Linked DNA regions of Sus scrofa. The main gene of each other region encodes a partner of the protein of the gene in region 3 in a complex. Links are inferred from orthologs where the notes say so. Each region holds a gene or a part of one and is shown on either strand. Other genes may lie near its edges.

Evidence for each region.
Region 1: the proteins of RHOA (region 3) and ARHGEF12 are in contact, whole or in part, in a crystal structure (PDB 1X86), measured with the Homo sapiens proteins. The link is inferred for Sus scrofa from reciprocal best matches to the Homo sapiens genes RHOA and ARHGEF12. Residues at the interface, in NP_001300870.1 of Homo sapiens: Arg5, Lys7, Thr19, Lys27, Val33, Tyr34, Pro36, Thr37, Val38, Phe39, Glu40, Asn41, Val43, Asp45, Glu54, Trp58, Asp59, Ala61, Gly62, Gln63, Tyr66, Asp67, Arg68, Leu69, Leu72, Ser73, Asp76, Glu97; in NP_056128.1 of Homo sapiens: Pro766, Asn768, Gln770, Glu790, Val791, Glu794, Thr798, Ala801, Cys888, Gln891, Pro892, Lys899, Arg922, Arg923, Leu924, Gln925, Lys927, Asp928, Pro931, Thr932, Met934, Gln935, Thr938, Lys939, Leu942, Leu943, Asn946, Arg968, Leu971, Asn972.
Region 2: the proteins of RHOA (region 3) and RAP1GDS1 are in contact, whole or in part, in a crystal structure (PDB 5ZHX), measured with the Homo sapiens proteins. The link is inferred for Sus scrofa from reciprocal best matches to the Homo sapiens genes RHOA and RAP1GDS1. Residues at the interface, in NP_001300870.1 of Homo sapiens: Ala3, Ile4, Arg5, Lys6, Asp13, Lys18, Lys51, Asp65, Tyr66, Asp67, Arg68, Leu69, Arg70, Pro71, Leu72, Ser73, Tyr74, Lys98, Trp99, Pro101, Glu102, His105, Phe106, Leu179, Cys190, Leu191; in NP_001093897.1 of Homo sapiens: Arg111, Tyr118, His121, Ser171, Glu200, Met201, Val204, Asn208, Glu211, Leu212, Glu213, Ala249, Glu253, Lys290, Thr291, Asp294, Leu295, Val297, Leu298, Leu301, Asp303, Leu334, Leu338, Ala341, Asn342, Ala344, Arg345, Asn346, Asp347, Cys350.

Annotation. Positions count from the first base shown.
Region 1 is NC_010451.4:47,473,357-47,479,854, reverse strand, and holds the start of ARHGEF12 (rho guanine nucleotide exchange factor 12), read right to left. Parts: upstream 3,725-6,498; 5' UTR 3,035-3,724; coding exon 3,003-3,034; intron 1-3,002. UniProt on the Homo sapiens protein: May play a role in the regulation of RhoA GTPase by guanine nucleotide-binding alpha-12 (GNA12) and alpha-13 (GNA13). Acts as guanine nucleotide exchange factor (GEF) for RhoA GTPase and may act as GTPase-activating protein (GAP) for GNA12 and GNA13.
Region 2 is NC_010450.4:122,003,322-122,009,668, forward strand, and holds the start of RAP1GDS1 (rap1 GTPase-GDP dissociation stimulator 1), read right to left. Parts: upstream 4,089-6,347; 5' UTR 3,866-4,088; coding exon 3,862-3,865; intron 1-3,861. UniProt on the Homo sapiens protein: Acts as a GEF (guanine nucleotide exchange factor) for the Rho family of small GTP-binding proteins (G proteins) that stimulates the dissociation of GDP to enable subsequent binding of GTP.
Region 3 is NC_010455.5:31,920,514-31,926,396, forward strand, and holds part of RHOA (transforming protein RhoA), read right to left. Parts: intron 3,319-5,883; coding exon 3,198-3,318; intron 749-3,197; coding exon 618-748; intron 1-617. UniProt on the Homo sapiens protein: Small GTPase which cycles between an active GTP-bound and an inactive GDP-bound state.

The DNA.
Region 1 (6,498 bases), on a different chromosome or scaffold from region 3:
TTCTTTCCTCTCTATCTCGCAGAAGAAATTCCAATTACCACAAGACCCCTAAACTCTCAGGGAGAGAAACAAGCGTCTAGGAGGATTAGAAACAATTAGGTATATTTTAGGACTTAAAGCAGCAGTAAGTGTAAACTGAAGAGCAGCAGTAAGATATTTCTATCCCTTTCAATTGCCAGTTCTAAAAGCTGAAAAATGCAGTCTCCAGACCTCATAGAAGTAACAAAGCAAGACACTGGATGGTATTCACAAGCTGCTCGGATTTAAAAAAAAAAAAAAAAAGTCCAGATATACCACATAAGAACAGTAGCTATCATGAACACATAGTTTGAGTTCTAAAATGATGAATGATTACACCCTTAAAAAGGGGGCTGGGAGGACCTGGGGAGTAGAGGATAAGGGGGGGTAAGGGAGTAAATAAATGTGTTAATTTAACTGCAAAATAATAACAGGATATAACAGAGTTCTGAGTATCCAAAGTGACCAATCAGAGCCTAAACAGAGCTGAATTCCATCCCAGCCCCAGCACGTCCCTAACACAAGAATAAAACCCTTCTTATCTTGTTCAGCCATGTGTCGCCTGCCACAAACTGCAAAACAGAACAACGCCCAAAACCAGCTAGTCTGATTTCAACTGGGGACAGACAGACTCTGTAGTCAGAAGCACCACAATGAAAGAACTCTAACTCACACAGCTGGCCTGGTGGGTCTGCACACTCTACAAAACAAAGCCATACCACATACAGTACTTCAAACTTGAAAGGATCTTTAAAAAGCTACAAAGGCGCTGTTAATTTGCCAAAGGCTCTAGAATCAGCAAAACATACCTACAGTACACTGGAGTTAAGACAGTGAGAAAACAAAATGAGGTGGGTAAGGAACTATTCTATACTCATAACTTTATCAGGCTTCCTACACAGAAATAATACTGAACCAGTACTTTCAGATTTCACCCCAACATATATCCAAATCGGGGACAACTACTCTCCTAAGAGCCAACAGAGGAGTGATATTTACAGAATAAGATATATTTAAAGAAAAAGTAATGCTCCCATATGAACAATTCTTATGAAAAAAAACAAAACAAAACCCCAAACTAGTAGTAAATTCCAAAGAAACACGAATACATACTGTCTCAGAAATACATATTAAGTGGTGTTTAAAGTTTCCTCTCTGAAAATATGTACAATCAAGCAGCACTTGAACTAATTCAAGGATATTAATACCCAAACCAATTTGCAGATTCATCTTATACTTGGAATACTCATCTCTTAATCCTTTGTGCCCAGCACAGCACCTGGCAAAGAACATGCATTAACTGCATGCTTATTGTATATTTATATCTCATCTAAGTTATAGAAAGGATAAAAACCCCAAGACCTTATTTCTAAGATAACGAAAGAGGAAGAAAATTGGAGAAATAAAGATGAAGAAAGGTCATTACTTGGGTGCTTTTAGGAGATTTTCACATAGAATGAATTGGTGACCGTAGGTTCTGTTTCTACAAAATTAAACGCTCCTACTACTGCAATGAAAACTAGTAGGACTACATTAGTACCTAATAAGACTTTTCTACAGGTTCAACAGAGAAAGCAAGAATTGAATGAACCAGAAAAACAATTACCCACACACCCAAGAAAATGATTTCTCAGAGGCAAAATAACCTGAGAGGAAAAGGAATGGGAATAACTTGAGGATATCAAAATAAGCATTGTTGCTATTCATGTTAAGTGTACTCTCAGAGAAGGTGAAAATTAAAATGCATTAAAAAAAACTCAAAAAATAGTTTAAACATTTAATGGACTCTTTTAAGTGAACATTCACGTGATACCGGAAAGCATCAACAGGAAGAGGAAATTCTGTTTTTGGAGTATCTGTTATGGTATGATAATGGAATTTGGCCCTTTTAAAATCAACAAATGAGTCTTACAATTGGGTAAAACTCTCTTATTATGAAATTAAACTACCTTTTGAGCACCACTAATGTTGTATTCATCAAAGTGCTTTCTTTAGCCCCTTACTTCATTTATTTTTTAGTTTGAAGGTTGACCCCCCTCCCCAGAAAAAAAAAAAAAAAAAAAGCTGACTGAAAACTTGGGACCTGGATAATTATGGCAATGTCATCATTAAACTGAAAAACAAAATATAGTAAAAGAATATACTTTTATCGTTAAACCTAATATTCCAAATAACTAAAGAGTAAGGGAACTCCACTTAAACCACAAATAGTCTAGTTCAATTCACCAACCACCACCAAGTAACCTAGGTACATACTACAAAGGACGCACCCAACTCAGCAAATCACCTGCCAGCCTTACTACATAATTCGCTTAAGCTTTATACTCCTTAAATGCAAATGTTTCTGGAAGATGAAATACTAAAAATGCAATAATTAAAATCTAGCCCCATGGTTCCTTGATAACTGCCCCTACCAGGTACTTAGGATTTACTAGTAATTCCAATATTCTGGAAAATTATTAAGATGATCAACACCGTGCAAGTCAATAGGTAAAGGATATCAAACTCATAAATCACGCGGCAGCTTCACAATGTTCACAAAAAAAAATTCCTAAACTGAAGCAGTGTCTATAGGACTACACGAGAGAAGTACAAGCGATGATGCACCAATACCCCAGCCGACTTCGGGCGCTGACCTTCACCCAAAATGACCTCCCTCTGGTCCCAAGATCCGTACAGAATCCTAATGCAAACTACCGACAGAAAAACACAATCATGGCTTTACCTACCCCTCCTCCGAGAATCTGGAGAAAAGTTTCTCTCCAGAAAAAAACAAACAAAACAAAACAAAACAACCCTACATTTCTAAATTCAATCAACCGGGGAACTTGGCAGCAACCCCAGGCTAATTGCAGAGCTCCGAAACAACCCTCTGTGCGATGCCTGTCAACTTCACTGGGCAAAGGCACTCGACAATCACTGACTCTCCTGCTAGGTCGGGCCCCAACCAGGGAGGCTAAGCGCAGGGTGAGCTTCATACCAACCTGTCGGTGATAGTAGACTGTGTGCCACTCATTGGGGCCCTTGGCGAGAGGTCCTCCTTTTATCCAACTTGCATTTTACAGTAACACCTCCACCCCACCCCCGGCGCTCTGGGATCAGGCCCGACTCCGTAAGGGACACAAGAGTCCAACTCAAAACTCCATTCAGGCATCTAGAACGTCCGACTGGAAGGGGTCAAGGAAAGGGGATGGAGATGGGAGCGAGGCAAGTTATCTCCCAAAATAAACCGATCAAGTCCGCCAGAAGGCGAGTCCTAGAGCTAGAGAGCGATCCTCGGGAAGTCACAGGAGAAAACTTCGTCACGGAGAGAAGTCGGCGAGCCTTGGGGAAGGGGGCCCGGGAGTCACTCCCGGGCCGGGGCAGGAGCGGCTCGGGGCTGGGTGTCGGTTCCTCCTCCGCGGTCTCGGGGGCTTGCAAGTCCCCGCCTCCAGGCCCGGCCCGCTGGGCTCCGCTCTCTATCTGGGGCTGCCGGCCGCTCGTGGCCACAGTCTCGGCCGCGTCTCGGGCCGCCCCGCGCCAGGCGCGCGCGGCTCCATGGCCCCGGGCCGGGGAACCCCTCTCGTCCTCGTCGCCGCCCCCACCAGGCTCCGGGCCCCGGGACGAGTGCGGGAGCCGGGGGAGGGGATCCCGCAGCCGGAGGTGACAGGAACCTGATTTCTCAGCGCCGCGGGCTGCTACCCATCCCTCGGAGGCCCCGACTCTTCCGCGGTCAGCACAGGCGGCGGCAGCAGCGGCTCCTCCCCGACGCGCCGGTAGGCGGCGGTTCCCGCGAGGGGCGGAGGTTCCCGTCCGGCCCGGCCTGGAAGTACCGGCTCCGGAGGCCGGCGGCGGCGACGGCGGCGACTCGGAGCGCAGAGCCGGCTCGCCGGGTTGTGGGGCCCTCACGGGGGCGCGCGCGGCGGGTGGAGGAGGCCGCCGATGGTGGGGGGCCGCCCGACAGCCGCGGGCGCGCGCACGGGTTCCGGTTCCGGTTCTGTCTTCCCGGCCCCGGCAGCGTCCAGCGCGAGCGAGCTCACTCTTCCCCTCCCCCGCCGACTTTTTTGGCCTCCTCCCCTCTGACTTCGGGAAGCCGCCTCACCCGGGATCCCTCCGCGGTGCGCGGGGCCGCCCGCGCCGCCCCCGCTTGCCGACCGCGGTTGCGCGTCAACCCGCGCGGACGCCTCCGCCAGCGTCTTGTTGGGGGGAACGAAAAAGTAGTTCGGCGGAGCGGAGGGAGGTGGGGACGGTCTGGTCCCGGGACTCCCACTCGCCAACCCACTGCCGTCCCCAGGAACGCGCGAGTGCCGGATATCTGTACTTCGTAGTCTAGTTTTCGCCAGGGACCGCCAAAGAGCACGTCCCTAATCCAGAGGAATTGAGAAGAAGCTCTTTAGAAATTACCCACCCTCTCGTCCTGGAAACTTGTAGTCTTTAAAGGGAGCATACTTGTTCTTTTTTTCGGAGAACCCTATAGACTGCTTTGGGCCGATGGAAGCGAACTCGTGTCCGGATGCACGGACACCGTTCCATCGTTTGTGAAACAAACCCCAGCACAGAGAAGTTTTGGCCTTGGGCGCTCACCTGGGGCACCTGCTGGCCTCCTCCCAGGATAGGGACCGCCGCGCACAAGTCTTGGCTGCCCACGGAGGGTTGGAGGACGAAAGTGTATGGGACTGGAGAGACGACAGAGTTTGGGAACTGGAGCCAGGATTTCTTCGTATAGTGTTGCTTTTAGGCTGCTGCTCCTGCCTTGGCAAAATGAAATGTTATTATTTGCCAAATTGAGCAAGCATGGTGCTTTCCACAGCGACTTAACAAGCTTGTTGTGGAAAGAAATGGGAGCAAAAAACAAAGTATATTTATCCAGTAAATAGCTTTACAGTTCTCTTTGAAGAGTTCCCAAATATTTTTATTTTTTTCCCCAGCTGGGTAGATAAACTTAGATATCCATCTACTTTATGATTGCATAATTTGGGATTGTAGCAATTCAAGTACCATGTACAATATATTTCTTCAATTCGGCCTGTAAACATTTGAAGTGGCTGTCTCTTTATCCATCTGTTTTCAGCTTTGAGTTCAAAGCTGTATTGTTGCGTCAAGGTCTTCAACCTTTTTTGTGGAAATCAAGTGCCAAAGCACATCTAATAAACAGTGGATGTGGAGAGGGGAAAGAATTACCTCTTAAAAACGCTGTTGCTAAAAGTCAATCCAAAAGAGTGCATGAAAGGATCATTATCCCTGAATAGATGCATGAGCTAAGGCTGACGTTAGAACCGGGTTAAAAAAAAAAAAAAGGAAAAGAAAACGATAAACAGAGGCCAAAGATGACTCTTTACTGTTTTGTTTTTAAGTTCAGGGCACAGCCAGCTAATTTTGTAATGTTTATTTTGGGAAAGAATAGAAGCAGATTAGGGTCCCAAGCCACTTTCCTAATGATCAGACCAGGACACATTGCCACCTGCTGGTGTACCCTAACATGATAATTCTATTCTGAAAACTCTTAATTAAATTGCTTATTTTCTATATGTAATTGGAAAGGGCTCCATCAGTCTATATACAATGACCAAAATGCAAACCTTTCCCCCAAACTTTTATCTTTTTTAGACATTCTAAAAAAAGGTTTTTTTGCCCTACTCTAATCATTTTACAGTGTGGGTGTCAAATTAATTGGACCCAATGACTCATCAAATCATGCATTTTAAAAATGAGCTCCCTCTTCCCTTCAAGAATGCCTCACTACACGAGCTTCAGGGATAAAAACAAACTGGGAAAGTTTCCTAATTCACCTTCTCTTCCTTGCATACAAAACCTCTTGGCAGGCTGCTTTCATAATCTTTCCAAACTTAAACAGACCCAAAGTTCTAGCTGTGAGCAAGGAGGGCATTTGCTGTGGGAAAGCTTCAGAAGATGGTAAGCAAAGGATTTAATTAAGCCAGTGGTTATTCATTCCAGAGCTATTTTTTGTAGTGATGAAAATCTATATTCTCGGACAAAGCTCTAAGAGTAAAAATATGTCCAAACGCTTCTTTACAGCTGTTGGTAGCTCTGGACTGTTCTGAAGTCCCTGCATCAGAATACCTTCAGAAGAGTCATGACAATTTAGGCAGAATGCACTCCAAAGGAACATTAGTCCTTTACCTAGAAAAATGACTGGTGACACTATCTCCTGCGCATGCTCTTTGAGGAGGTTTTCCAAAGGGGTTCATTCCAAACCAAATCCTCATATCCTCATCCATGCTTTCAACCTGCCTGCTCAATTCCTACTACATGTCTAACACCATTTCAGGTATGGGAGCACAGTCTGAAGAAGGCCAAATACCCTGTCTTCATGAACCCAACTGGACATCATCATGTTCAAGGCAGCTGCTCAAACAGGTGGGCAAAATAAAAAAGAAATTAAGTCCCCACCCCCACCATTCTTTGGCAAAGTATTTTCTGAATGTGGATGGTTGCCTCAAAAAGTGAACAGTGTTAGGAATGGTGGATGATAAGAGCAGC
Region 2 (6,347 bases), on a different chromosome or scaffold from region 3:
CTCCATATCTATCCTGCCTCATAAAGCTGCTTTTTAGAAAATACACTAAGTAATATCCTTAATGAACCACATCAATTTGGAGCCTTCTCTCAGTCCTAATTACTTTGTTCTGAGAAACAATCCTGCAACAGACAGTATTGACCATTCACTCTGGAAACCAAATACATGCCAATTCTAGTCTTTCTCGCTTACCTACTATCTTTTTCAGTGTCAAATCATTTTTTTTTTTCCCTTTTCCCAAACAATGGGGCATTCCTCAAGATTCTTACCTTGGTCAAATATTCTTCTTTTTCTTTGTTGATTTTCATTTCCCTACTTAACTTCAAATATCATCTCAGGATATGGGGAGATAAACATCCAGACGTCTAGCTCAAACCTTCTCTTGAGAGTTAAAAGAACTGTTAAATATTTTTAACCTGGTTTGGTCAGTCAAAAATGTTTTAGGGCACAGCTCCTGTGTGCTAGACACTAGTGTTACAAATGTATTCAAAATGTAATTTGTGGCACAACGTTGTAAATCAACTATAAAAAATTAAATTAAAAAACAATATGAATATATAACCTAATGTCATCAAGAGGCAGAGAATCGAAAAGGCGAACAGTCCAACTCCCCAGGTCCAAAACTGACTCTTCATCTTTCCTCTTCCAATGGATTAAATACATATTTAACAGATCCCACATTCTCATTATTGCCCAGACAGTAGTGTATGACTCCTTTCCTGATTCCATATGTAAATCTTGTTCTTTATTTACAATATTCTATTCTCACTGCCATAGCCTGGTTTAGGCCGGTGTACATTTCTACCCAAACTGCAACTGCCTTCTGAAGTATTCTCTAGTTTTTCATTCAATCCATCCTGCACTCAATTGACAAATTGATTTTCCTAAACCACAGATGTGCTCCATCACTTAACTACATAAAAATGTTTACTAGTCCCTCAGTTGACAAGTCAAGCCCCCAAACTTCTTCGGCGTGGCATTCAAAGTCCTCCATTATCTGTTCTTTATCTATTAACACTTTTTCATCTCTGTCATCCACTCTTTCCCTACCTTTTGATCCAGCCAAACATGGTTATTTAATCATACCCTGAAAAAACATGAAAATTCCTATCTCTATATTTTCATGTCATTTCTCTCCCTCCACCGTCATCCTGATGAACAGTCTCCGTTCATTTCTACCTTTCAGAAGCTTAACCAACCTTTGCTCAGATAACATTATTTTTCTAAAAACTTCTCTCCATCCTCTGAATCTATATGATACGTAAAGGTCTTCCGTGCCACTCATACTTTATTTCTATTAATGTTATCTGTGTATGTATCATTCCTGTTAAGATTGTAAGCAACCTGAAAAACGAATGTCTTCTTGATCTTTCTCCTCCCACGGTAGGTATACAAGAAATATTAAGTACACACTGAATTTTAAGTATATATATATATAAATGTATACATAAAAATAATAGACATGGTCCATAAGGTTACATTGGAAGTTTCCTTCACTTTCTTCTGGAGAAAAATCACTGCCATAACAATATCTTCTTTAAAAATCACCATATTTACTTATGAAAATGACATTAGCGATTTTTTTGACCCCTATCGCTTATCAGTATACCCTTATGTATATAGGAATTGCTATAATAACTTCCTTGGCTTAGAATATAATATTGTCTTTCAATGTTTCAATTTTACATTATTGTATATGTCTACTGATGGTAAACAAAACCACCTTACCATTGAAAAGAGCAGTGTAGGAAGAAATAGCTTGCCTAGTGGCTGTTCCAAAACCCACACATCTGAGACGACACAACTTTTTTTTTTTTTTTTTGAGAGAAAGAGAAGAGCAGTCACAGTATAATTATACTTCTCTGTACCCAGTTCCTCCACACCTCCACCACCTGCACAAAATCTATCAACCCAAATGTCTGTTCAGGGCCCAGACTTTCAGGTTCCCCAGTTGAAAATAATAGATAGGTTTCCAGTTCAATAATTAATTTACCAAAGATTTACTGAATACCTACTATGTAGAAAGCACTGTGGAGGACCCTGAAATTAAAACGACGTAATTTTCACCTTCTAGAATGCATGATTAAATGCACAATACAAACACATAAACAACTCTGTTATAAAGCAGATTATGTAAGGTCTAAAAAGCTTCCAACAAGGTACAAACAGAATGGTATGAGGAGAGAGGGTGATTTAATCCGAGTATCTGAGAAGCTTCAAATGAGAGATGGATTTCTATTTGGACTCTCTTTGAAATCAAGCAAAGATTTTCGGGTTAATTATTTTACTTGTGGCCTGTAATTAAGTAGAAAACCTTTGCAATGTTCAAAGGAAAGACACAAGGTATCCAATAATCTGAACTGATATTTATTTAAAATTCTACTCCCAGAGAAATTTATATAAATAATAAATGGGCCACCAAACTTTTACAGAAATATGTTCAGCATACCTACAGCACATTAAAAAGGAAAAAACTGAACAACAGAAAACAAAATTCAGTGTCCTAGATTTATACCTCCTCTTGCAAAAATGACCTCTTCCGCCAAAGGTCTGAATCAGAGCTTGGAGCATTTGCTCTTCGAGTGAGCTCCATAGACACCATTTCTAGATTTAGATATTTCCTTGAAGATTTTGAGTTGCCATGACCTAACTCTGGACGTGTTGGGCACCAGACTGACAGATAAAAGGTCCACACTCATCTCAAGCTTAAAATAACTTGCAAGGAAGGGGTGGGGAAAGTCTGAGTTGACAGGTGCCAAAGGAGCAAATTTTAAAAAGAAGAAAGAAACTATGACAGGAATGGAAGCAAACTGGGGAACAGGCAGAAGCATGGCATTCCAAACCGCTACAATTTTTAAAAATGTTTCGTCTTTTAATCACATTACCGTAGCCACCAGACGTTTTTGCAATTACTGAACTTAACAATGAAGCAACATATTATGAAAAAGTAGGATTAATTATATGTAGCTTTGTAAAACATCTCATCCCAACTCTTAAATATCTCATCCCAAACTCTTAAGATTAATCACAAACACGAAGGAACTAAAATCGCATTATATAGATTCCGACAAGGGAAGCTGGGAAAGCATTACTAGTATGTAAGTTCGGTACCATGTTACAGACAGGCAGGGTGCAGTTTCGTGCTACAGGAGACAGGCGAAGGAGCCAAGAAAATGCGTTGAACACCGGAATAGTGCACACTGTAGTCACCCAACACGAATTCAACAGCTAGCGGCTCTATCCATCCTGCCTCACGTTCCTCGTGGCCTCTGACAAGTCATCCTTTCAACCTATGAGACTGTCCGCTCTCCCCCACCGAAAATAATTTCCGTGCAGGTTGTAAAATCACCCCCACAAACTACTTGCTCCCACTTCCCCGCCTCGGGATGAGCAGTCCCCAAGATGGGGAAAGGTCGCCCAGACAGGGAAGTTACGTGAAGTGGTCTTTCTAGCGGTCGGACCCGAGTCTCCAGCCCAGCAGCCGCGAGGGGAAGGAAGCCGGCGGCCTCTGAAGAAACCGGGATGGGGCAGCGGATGCGAGCCCGCGGGGCAGGCTCCGTGGTGCCCGGGCACCGGCTCGGGCAGGAAGAATGGAGGAGGGGAGGCGAGGCAGCGAGGTGCCCGAGAGCCGGGCGGCGGTCCGGCCCCGCGGCCCGACCCCACCCCGCACTCTGGACCCTCCCAGCCCTGGGACCCGGCGTGCGTTCCGCGTGCGCCGACTCTCCCCGGAGAAACAGCCACTGCCTCACCCCGGTGGACTGGAGAAATCCGGCAACTTTGCGCGAGAAATGCTTCCCACCCTGCACCACGCCGAGAAAGAGAAATATGTCAGGCGATGACGGGGGAGGAAGGATGACTTACCCATGTTCCTCCCAGAGGGTGAGGAGCCGGCAGGTCGAGGCGAAGGTCTCCGGTGCGGGCGGCGCGGCGCTGTGTCCTCCCTCTACCTCTGTCTCTCCCGCAACCAGGGAGGGACCCGCGGGGGGCGGCCGCCGGGGAGGAGCAGCTGGTGCTGCCGCTGCTGCTGCCGCTGCTGCTGCTGCTGCAGGCAGCGCGGCCGCGGCGGGGACGAGCGGCGGGGGGCGGGGCGGGGTAGGGCGGGGCGGGCGCAGCCTGCGGCGGGCGCAGCTCGGAGCGGGCAGGCGGCGGAGGCGCCGAGCCGGCCGGAGGAGCGCCCGCCCCGACGCGCACTCCGGGAGCGCCCCGCCCTCCCCGCCGAGCATGCTCAGTGCCTCCCTTTTTTTTCCCCCCGGGGCAAGTCAATCTGAGCGTGCGGGTGGGCGTGTGTTTGCGGGCCGGCTGCAGCCGCCGCGGAGGAGCTTGATGGCTGCCGCCGGAGGGGCGGAGGGTAGGCCCTGGGCAGGCTGGGTACCGGGACGCTGTGCCCGAACTATTACCTTCCAGGTCGCTACCCCGACCTGGCCAACCCACACCCGGAAAACGGGCCAGTCTTCATTACCCGACAGGCCGGGTGCACAGGCGGGAATTTCCCGAAGGAGGAGACCCTGGGCCGCCTCAGACCCGGGAGGGTGGTCGGGAAGCAAGGCAGTCGTCCTGAAACGGGGCCGGCATGGACATGCTGGCGATGAGGCCAGCGCCTCTGGAGACAGATATCTGAGGACGCTTGTTTTCAGAGCAGCCGTGTGGGCCCGCTGGGCACAGAGAAGGGAGGTGGCCGCGGGAAGGGCGCTTAACATTAGCGGGCACATCAGTGGGACAGTTAAGTCTGTCCTGGCTGCGGCCAGTTTAAAAGAGGTTCCCGGCAGCGAGAGGAGTGACCGCCCCGGGATTTCTTCGGAGCGTATCGTTCTCCTTCCTAGGGGAGCGCGGCCTTCCTTTCCCCGGAGGACACCCGAAAAGCCATGTCACAAGGGTGCCCTGGCCGTCGGGCGCCACCCTCCTCGGATGTGCCCATCTTTGCCCCGCTCCCTTTAAACGCGGCGGGAACAGGTTGCCAAGGCAGGAAACCAAAAGTCCGCCCAGTTGGCTGCGGCCCCATCGGGTCGAACGCCGGAGTTTCCTTGGACCACGGGGCCAGCGCCTGCTCCCCGCACCTCCCCAGCGGCGGGGACAACCTGAGCTGGGCGCTCCCTTTTGAGGGCACCCTCCCAACTGGGCATGCGCGCGAGACAGAGGCTGGTCTTGCGTCCTCCGCCCTGCGGGAGGAGGCTGGGGGAAACCTTCCCGTTCCCTGCACTCTGGTCGCGCCCCGACTCTCGGTGGTTGGGGTGAGGAGTCAGGTCGGTCTCCCCAGGCGGCAGCAACTACGGTCTAGGCGGGGAAAGGGCGCAGGCAGTAGCACAGCCTGTAGGAGGGAGATGCTGAATAGCTAAATGGAAATTTCTCTTTTTCAACTTTTACTCTTTCAGCCCAATGTTGAGAAAAGGTGCTCCCTGCCCTTCATCAGCGGCCCTCTTACAGTCAGATCCGTTTCCATTTATATGACTGATACTACAAAGCACACAAGTCAAAATAGGCCTTGTAATTTGTTGAGCAGGGCAGATTTTCTAAAACAAAAATGAAACAAAAAGGAGGAGAGGTTTGGAAAAACAAGAAAATACAATGTAACTATAGATGTCAAAGTTATTAGACTGTTCTGATGCCCAAGACAATCAAATCAGACTCTTGACTCTTCTACTACACTACCAAGTAGAGGCACTAAGGGAGGATTTATTCCAGGTCTTCTCCAGCTCTGGTAGGTCCTTGGCGTATGGGAGCATAATTCCAGCCTTCACGTGGCATGTCTGTTGACATTTTTCTTTTTTATGAGCACACCAGTCATTTTTGATTAGGGGCCCAACTCTTCCAGTATGACCTCATCTTTATATCTGCCGTGACCCTGTTCCCAAATAAGGTCACATTCTGAGATATGTTAGGACTTCAGCATATACATTTGCAGGGAACATGATTCAGTCCATACACACCAACACATACCCCTACCCTACCATGTTCCACATTCATTTTGGACCTCTCCAGAAACCACCCTGGGGTCTTTGTATCGCTGCTCTTCATTTTTTTGTCCCTCTCCCTTTCCTTAACCTAATTAATCTTCCAGATTCTCAGGTTCACTTGCTATGCTTTTCCTGCTACTTCCTTTTGTAGTCCTATATTACAGTAATTTCCAGGAGCATCTTCTTTTGTTGGGATGCATGAATTGAAACTAGCGAAAGTGGCTGCTGAGGTTTTATAACCTCCCACCTGACACTGTAAGTGCCTTTTTGTTCTGCTTGAATCCACAAGCTGTCCCCTCAGCACCCTTACGGATTAAAACTAGAAGGCTGTCTGGGCATATTGCATACAGTGAGTCCCAATGCACTGCTGTGTAACCATGGTGAGACCTGACACTG
Region 3 (5,883 bases):
TGTGACTAGCATCCATGAGGTTGCAGGTTCGATCCCTGGCCTCGTTCTGTGGGTTAAGGATCTGGCAATGCCGTAAGCTGTGGTGTAGGTTCGAAGACGGCTGGGATCTGGAGTTACTGTGGCGTAGGCCAGCAGCTGTAGCTCCAATTAGGCCCTTACCCTGGAAACCTCCATATGCCACTGGTGCAGCCCTAAAAAGACACACACACACACACACACACACACGCATTAGGGCTCTATGTTTGGACTCCCTGCCCTCAGGATTTCCTGACCTTTCACTAATTTGTCTTTCAAAAGTAATAACTGGAGAGGGAAATCAAGAGCCTAATAAAGTCCCTACATTTGGGAGCACTGACTACTGCTTGATGGTTCCTTCTTAGGCAGGCAATCTTTTGGGGGTATATCACTGCCTCACAAGACGGGTTCCATCTTCTACAAATAGAAGTCGTAGGGACTCTGTGCAGGCACCAGTGAGGGCCAGATGACAGCAAAAGGCTTCTAGGACTCTCTTAATCGGCTTGGCCTATAAGGGTTTTTGCTGGCTTCCCTGAACCTCCAACCTTGGGCTCCAGGTTCAAGAATGCTACAGGAATACAGGGCCCTGACCCAGACCATACCTGCTTCATCTTAGCTAGCTCACGCCTTGTGTGCTCATCATTTCGAAGATCCTTCTTGTTCCCAACCAGGATGATGGGCACATTGGGACAGAAATGCTTGACTTCTGGAGTCCATTTTTCTGGGATGTTTTCTGAAAGGTGCAAAATGCACATAATTTGAAGATACATATAATTCTACCTTGAAAAATCTCCAAAAGCCCCAGCTAGGTAAATTGCAAAGAAACTTTCTGAGAAGTATAATGGACATTTAATGTCAAAATCATAAAAGGCAAACTCTAACTCCTCTTCTCTTCAGCACAGAATCACCCGCTTTTCTCAGTCCCATCAAGTTTAGTTCCTCTGGAGGTGGGACCCAGGTAAAGGTACTGGAGAAGTGAAGGATTCAAAACAGAGAGTGGCTCCACATGGTGCCACCTGCCCCAAGGAAGAAAGCTCTTTACCAGCCATTCATGTCACTGTTGGCAGATAATTCTAACAACAGGCTGCAGAAGGAGCCCCCATTCTGGGGCTATAGCTGGCCACATGCTTTCTCAATGTCTTACTCATGGACTCTTGGCATGACCTACTCTATGGGTTACTGGTATTTCAAATGATTTGAGTGGCTTTAAAAAATGAATGATAACCAGCTGGAGTTTGTGTGTGACTCAACAGGATTGGCAGCACTTCTGGAGCACTGGGATGCAGGTTCAATCCCTGCCCTACACAGTGGGTTAAAGGAGGATCCATTGTTGCAACTGTGGCTCCTACCTGATCCCTGGCCCCAGAATTCCATATGCTGTGGGCTGGCCAAAAAAGAAAATAAATAAATAAATCAAAATAAATGATAACAGCTGTAGCTTCTTGCCAATACTGCAGTAATTTAGAAAGGTTGTATGTACACCATGGTGTACAAGTGGCCTGGGTTGAACTTCCCATATCTGCCACCTTGAGCATCTCAGGGTCAGAGATACTATAAAACAGGTTAACACTAATATCTTACTTAGTTTAAATGGTCCTGATTGTAACTTGAGACTGAATTTTCTTTTTTCCTTTTCTTTTTTTTTTTTTGTCTTTTTGCCTTTTCTAAGGCCACTCCCTCGGCATATGGAGGTTCCCAGGCTAGGGGTCAAATCTGAGCTGTAGCTGCCGGGCTATGCCACAGCTCACAGCAACGCTAGATCCTTAACCCACTGAGCAAGGCCAGGGATCAAACCCGCAACCTCATGGATATTAGTCCACTGAGCCTCATTTATTGTTATTTTTTCTTTTTTTTGGCATCCCCATGGAATATGGAGTTCCCAAGCCAGGGATTAGATCCAAGCCACAGCTGTGACCTACACCACAGTTGTGGCAACAGTGGATCCTTAACCCACTGTGCCAGGCCAGGGATGGAACCTGCATCCTGGTGCTCCAGAGATGCTGCCAATCCCTTTGCATCAATGGCAGGAACTCCAAGGCTGTATTTTAGGAGTAAAGTGTTCACTCTCTGACCTCAACACATTACCAAAAGGCAGGAGTCACTGAGAATGTGGAACCACAGAACTCTCTCTCTCACAACACCGGATCCATAACCCACTTAGCAAGGCCAGGGATTGAAACTGCATCCTCATGGATATCAGTCAGATTCATTACTGATGAGCCACAATGGGAACTCCAAAAGCAAGTTCTCTTTCAGGTCTTGGTGCCTGTTTTTGCAGTGTGAAGTCAGATTCATTCATTCTTTTTCTAAATGAAAGGACATTCTGAAACATGGGGCCAACTGAGCTACTGGAATGGTCAGGTTCAAGTCTTAGCTGAGGCACTTTATTATTATTATTATTATTATTAACGATTTTAATTTTTCCATTAAAGCTGGTTTACAGTGTCTGTCAATTTTCTACTGTATAGCAAAGTGACCCAGTCATACATACATATTATATATACATTCTTTTTCTCCTTCCATCATGCTCCATTATAAGTGACTAGATATAATTCCCAATGCTATACAGCAGGATCTCACTGCTTATCGAGACATTTTATAAAAGAGCTAAAATACGGCTTTAAAAACACTACCAAGATGCAAACTATTATACATAGAATGGATAACAAGGCCCTACTGTATAGCACATAATACTTCCACAATGGAAGAGAATACTTAAAAAAAAGAATGCAATATAACAGAATCACTTTGTTATATAGCAGAAATTAATACTACATTGTAAATCAACCATACTTCAATTTAAAAAAATTTAAAAAACAAAACAAAAACACTTTGAGGATTCAACAAATCAGCAGTCCAGACAGTGGGAGGCAGTAGGCTCAATATCAACTACTTAACACCCAAAAAATCCTTCCCCAAATCCTAGTCTAAAAAATAGCTTTGTATTTAGAACCTACCTACCTTCCAAGATGAACATGGCAGCCACAGGAGACCTAAGCTGAAAAGGGATTTGGGGCTCAGGCTCTACAGTCCCAAGGCTCTAGGACCCTGGCAACTGATGATTCCTTCTCTGAAGCTCATGTCAGTTTTTCAGCCATTTAAATGCCCAGAAAGGACATGAGAAACCAAAGGTCGGCCAAGTACACAGGCAGTGACAGACATTAGGCTACAGGGCTACTCACCTAAACTATCAGGGCTATCAATAGAGAAACACATCAGTATAACATCAGTATCCGGGTAGGAGAGGGGCCTCAAACGATCATAATCTTCCTGTCCTGCTGTGTCCCACAAAGCCAACTCTACCTATGATAGGAAAAATAAACATAGAGTACAGGTTAATCCCATTACTTACTTTCAGAAGAAGTGACACTTACCATAGTACCTTCAAATGACAGACTGTTCAAAACAGTAAAATACAGATTGGAATCAAACCTGAAGGTGCTAAGAGGTATTTACACTGTTTTAGGTTACAATTTCTCAAAACTGCAAATTTTATAGACAGATAATAGAACTGAATAAAGTACCTAATTCGAAATGTTCAGTCAAAAATAACTTTGTAAAAAATAATAGTAACTAAAATAACTTTGTAGCTTTAAGTATTTAATCATAAATAACATTCTATATAGGAAAGAAAGCAGATGAACAAGAAGAGAAATCAATTATAAATAACATTCCACCAGGTATACAAAGCAAAATAGGAAAAAATCAAAATAAGTAACTTTTCCTGTTAAATTCTCTCTTTTTTTTTTTTGGCCTTTTCTAGGGCCGCTCCTGCAGCATATGGAGGGTCCCAGGCTAGGGGTCTAATTGCTGGCCTACATCAGAGCCACAGCAACTCGGGATCCGAGCCACGTCTGCGACCTACACCACAGCTCATGGCAACGCCGGATCCTTAACCCACTGAGCGAGGCCAGGGACCGAACCCGCAACCTCATGGTTCCTAGTCAGATTCATTAACCACTGAGCCACGACGGGAACTCCTGTTACATTCTCACTTAACCATTTCCTTACTTTGTCTCATCATTCTGTTCCAATGTGGAAATAAGATTGTATTTCAGTTAGTGGTTAAGTAAAGACACCATCCTGGGTATCAGGCAAGGTCTGAGCTGACAGGATAGGCCTATTATTGCTCAAAAAATGAATGAATGGCTGGATGAAAGCATCACATAGGTAGGAGGTTCTCCTTTCATACCTGGGAATTGGATCACCTTCCAGCAGTAGGAAGGCAAATTGATGCCTGGGCTTTGGACATAAGGCTCCCTTTCAGCACTGCAGCCAGCCCTGTCACTTCTTACCACCACAATGAGATTTTTACAACCCTCTGTTCAGGGGCCCTTTGGGGCTCAAGGAGTTGCCCCTCCAATGCCTAGAATATCCTTCTTCCCCAACATCTTTTTTTGGGGGGCTTTTTAGAGCTCACTAGCGACATATGGAAGTTCCCAGGCTAGGGGTCAAACTGGAGCTGTAGCTGCCGGCCTCCACCAAAGCCACAGGAACTTGGGATCTGAGCCATGTCTTCGAACTACACTACAGCTCACGGCAACACCAGATCCTTAACCCACTGAGCAAGGCCAGGGATCGAACCCACGTCCTCATGGATACTAGTCAGATTCATTATCGTGGAGCCACAATGGGAATTCCTCCCTCTAACATTTTCGGAGCCTGTATTTCAGTTTCTAAATATTATTTCTCCCTTGAAGTTGTGGCTAGTTATTTTTCCCACCTTCAACCTCTGCCTCATGTCACTCACAACTTACACAAGTCCCACAGCACCTCTATCATCAGCTTGGTAAGGGAATCCATGACCTACTGATGCCCAATCCTCATAGCTGGTCTGACCTCAGGATGGTATAGGTCATTTCATTCTCTGCCAAATTGCACTCCCCTGGCCCCTCCACACCTCAAAAGGTATTCAGACAGACACAACAGCAAACTCTGAGTCCTGATAAATGATCCCAGAGTGTCAGGCCTATCACATGTTAGAATGAGTCTTATCCGGAGTTTCTGTCGTGGCGCAGTGGTTAACGAATCGGACTAGGAACCATGAGGTCGTGGGTTCGATCCCTGCCCTTGCCCAGTGGGTTAACAATCTGGCGTTGCCGTGAGCTGTGGTGTAGGTTGCAGACGCGGCTCGGATCCCGCGTTGCTGTGGCTCTGGCGTAGGCCGGGGGCTGCAGCTCCGATTCGACCCCTAGCCTGGGAACCTCCATATGTCGCGGGAGCGGCCCAAAGAAATAGCAAAAAAGACAAAAAAGGCAAAAAAAAAAAAAAAAAAAAAAAAAAAGAATGAGTCTTATCCATTTTTGGTAGACCTACTCCCGGGACCATCATTACCTAAAATCATTGGAACTCTAAGCTCTCCTCCCTAGGCTCTACTCTTTTTTATATATGTATTTTTTAGGGCTGCACCCATGGCATATGGAGGTTCCCAGGTTAGGGGTTGAATTAGAGCTACAGCTGCTGGCCTATACCACAAACTCAGCAACGCAGGATATGAGCCACCTCTGCGGCCTACACCACAGCTCACGGCAATGCCAGATCCTTAACCCACTGAACAAGGCTAGTGATAGAACTCTCGTCCTCATGGATACCAGTCGGGTTCGTTAAGCACTAAGCCATGACAGGAACTCCTAGGCTCTACTCTTATGTGAACATTCTTAGGCTGGAACTCTCTCACACCCTGGAAACTAACCAGTTGCTCTGAGGTAGATAGCTCAGCTGTGATACTCTTACAGATCAAGTACCTTTATTTCAGGGCTTTCCCCCTGGGTATGGGGCTCCCCTATTTTGCTAGGGTCAGGTATGTTCAAAGTGACAAAGCAAGAAAGATACTCACAGGTCATTCCTCAAGGTTTTAAGCCAAAGCTC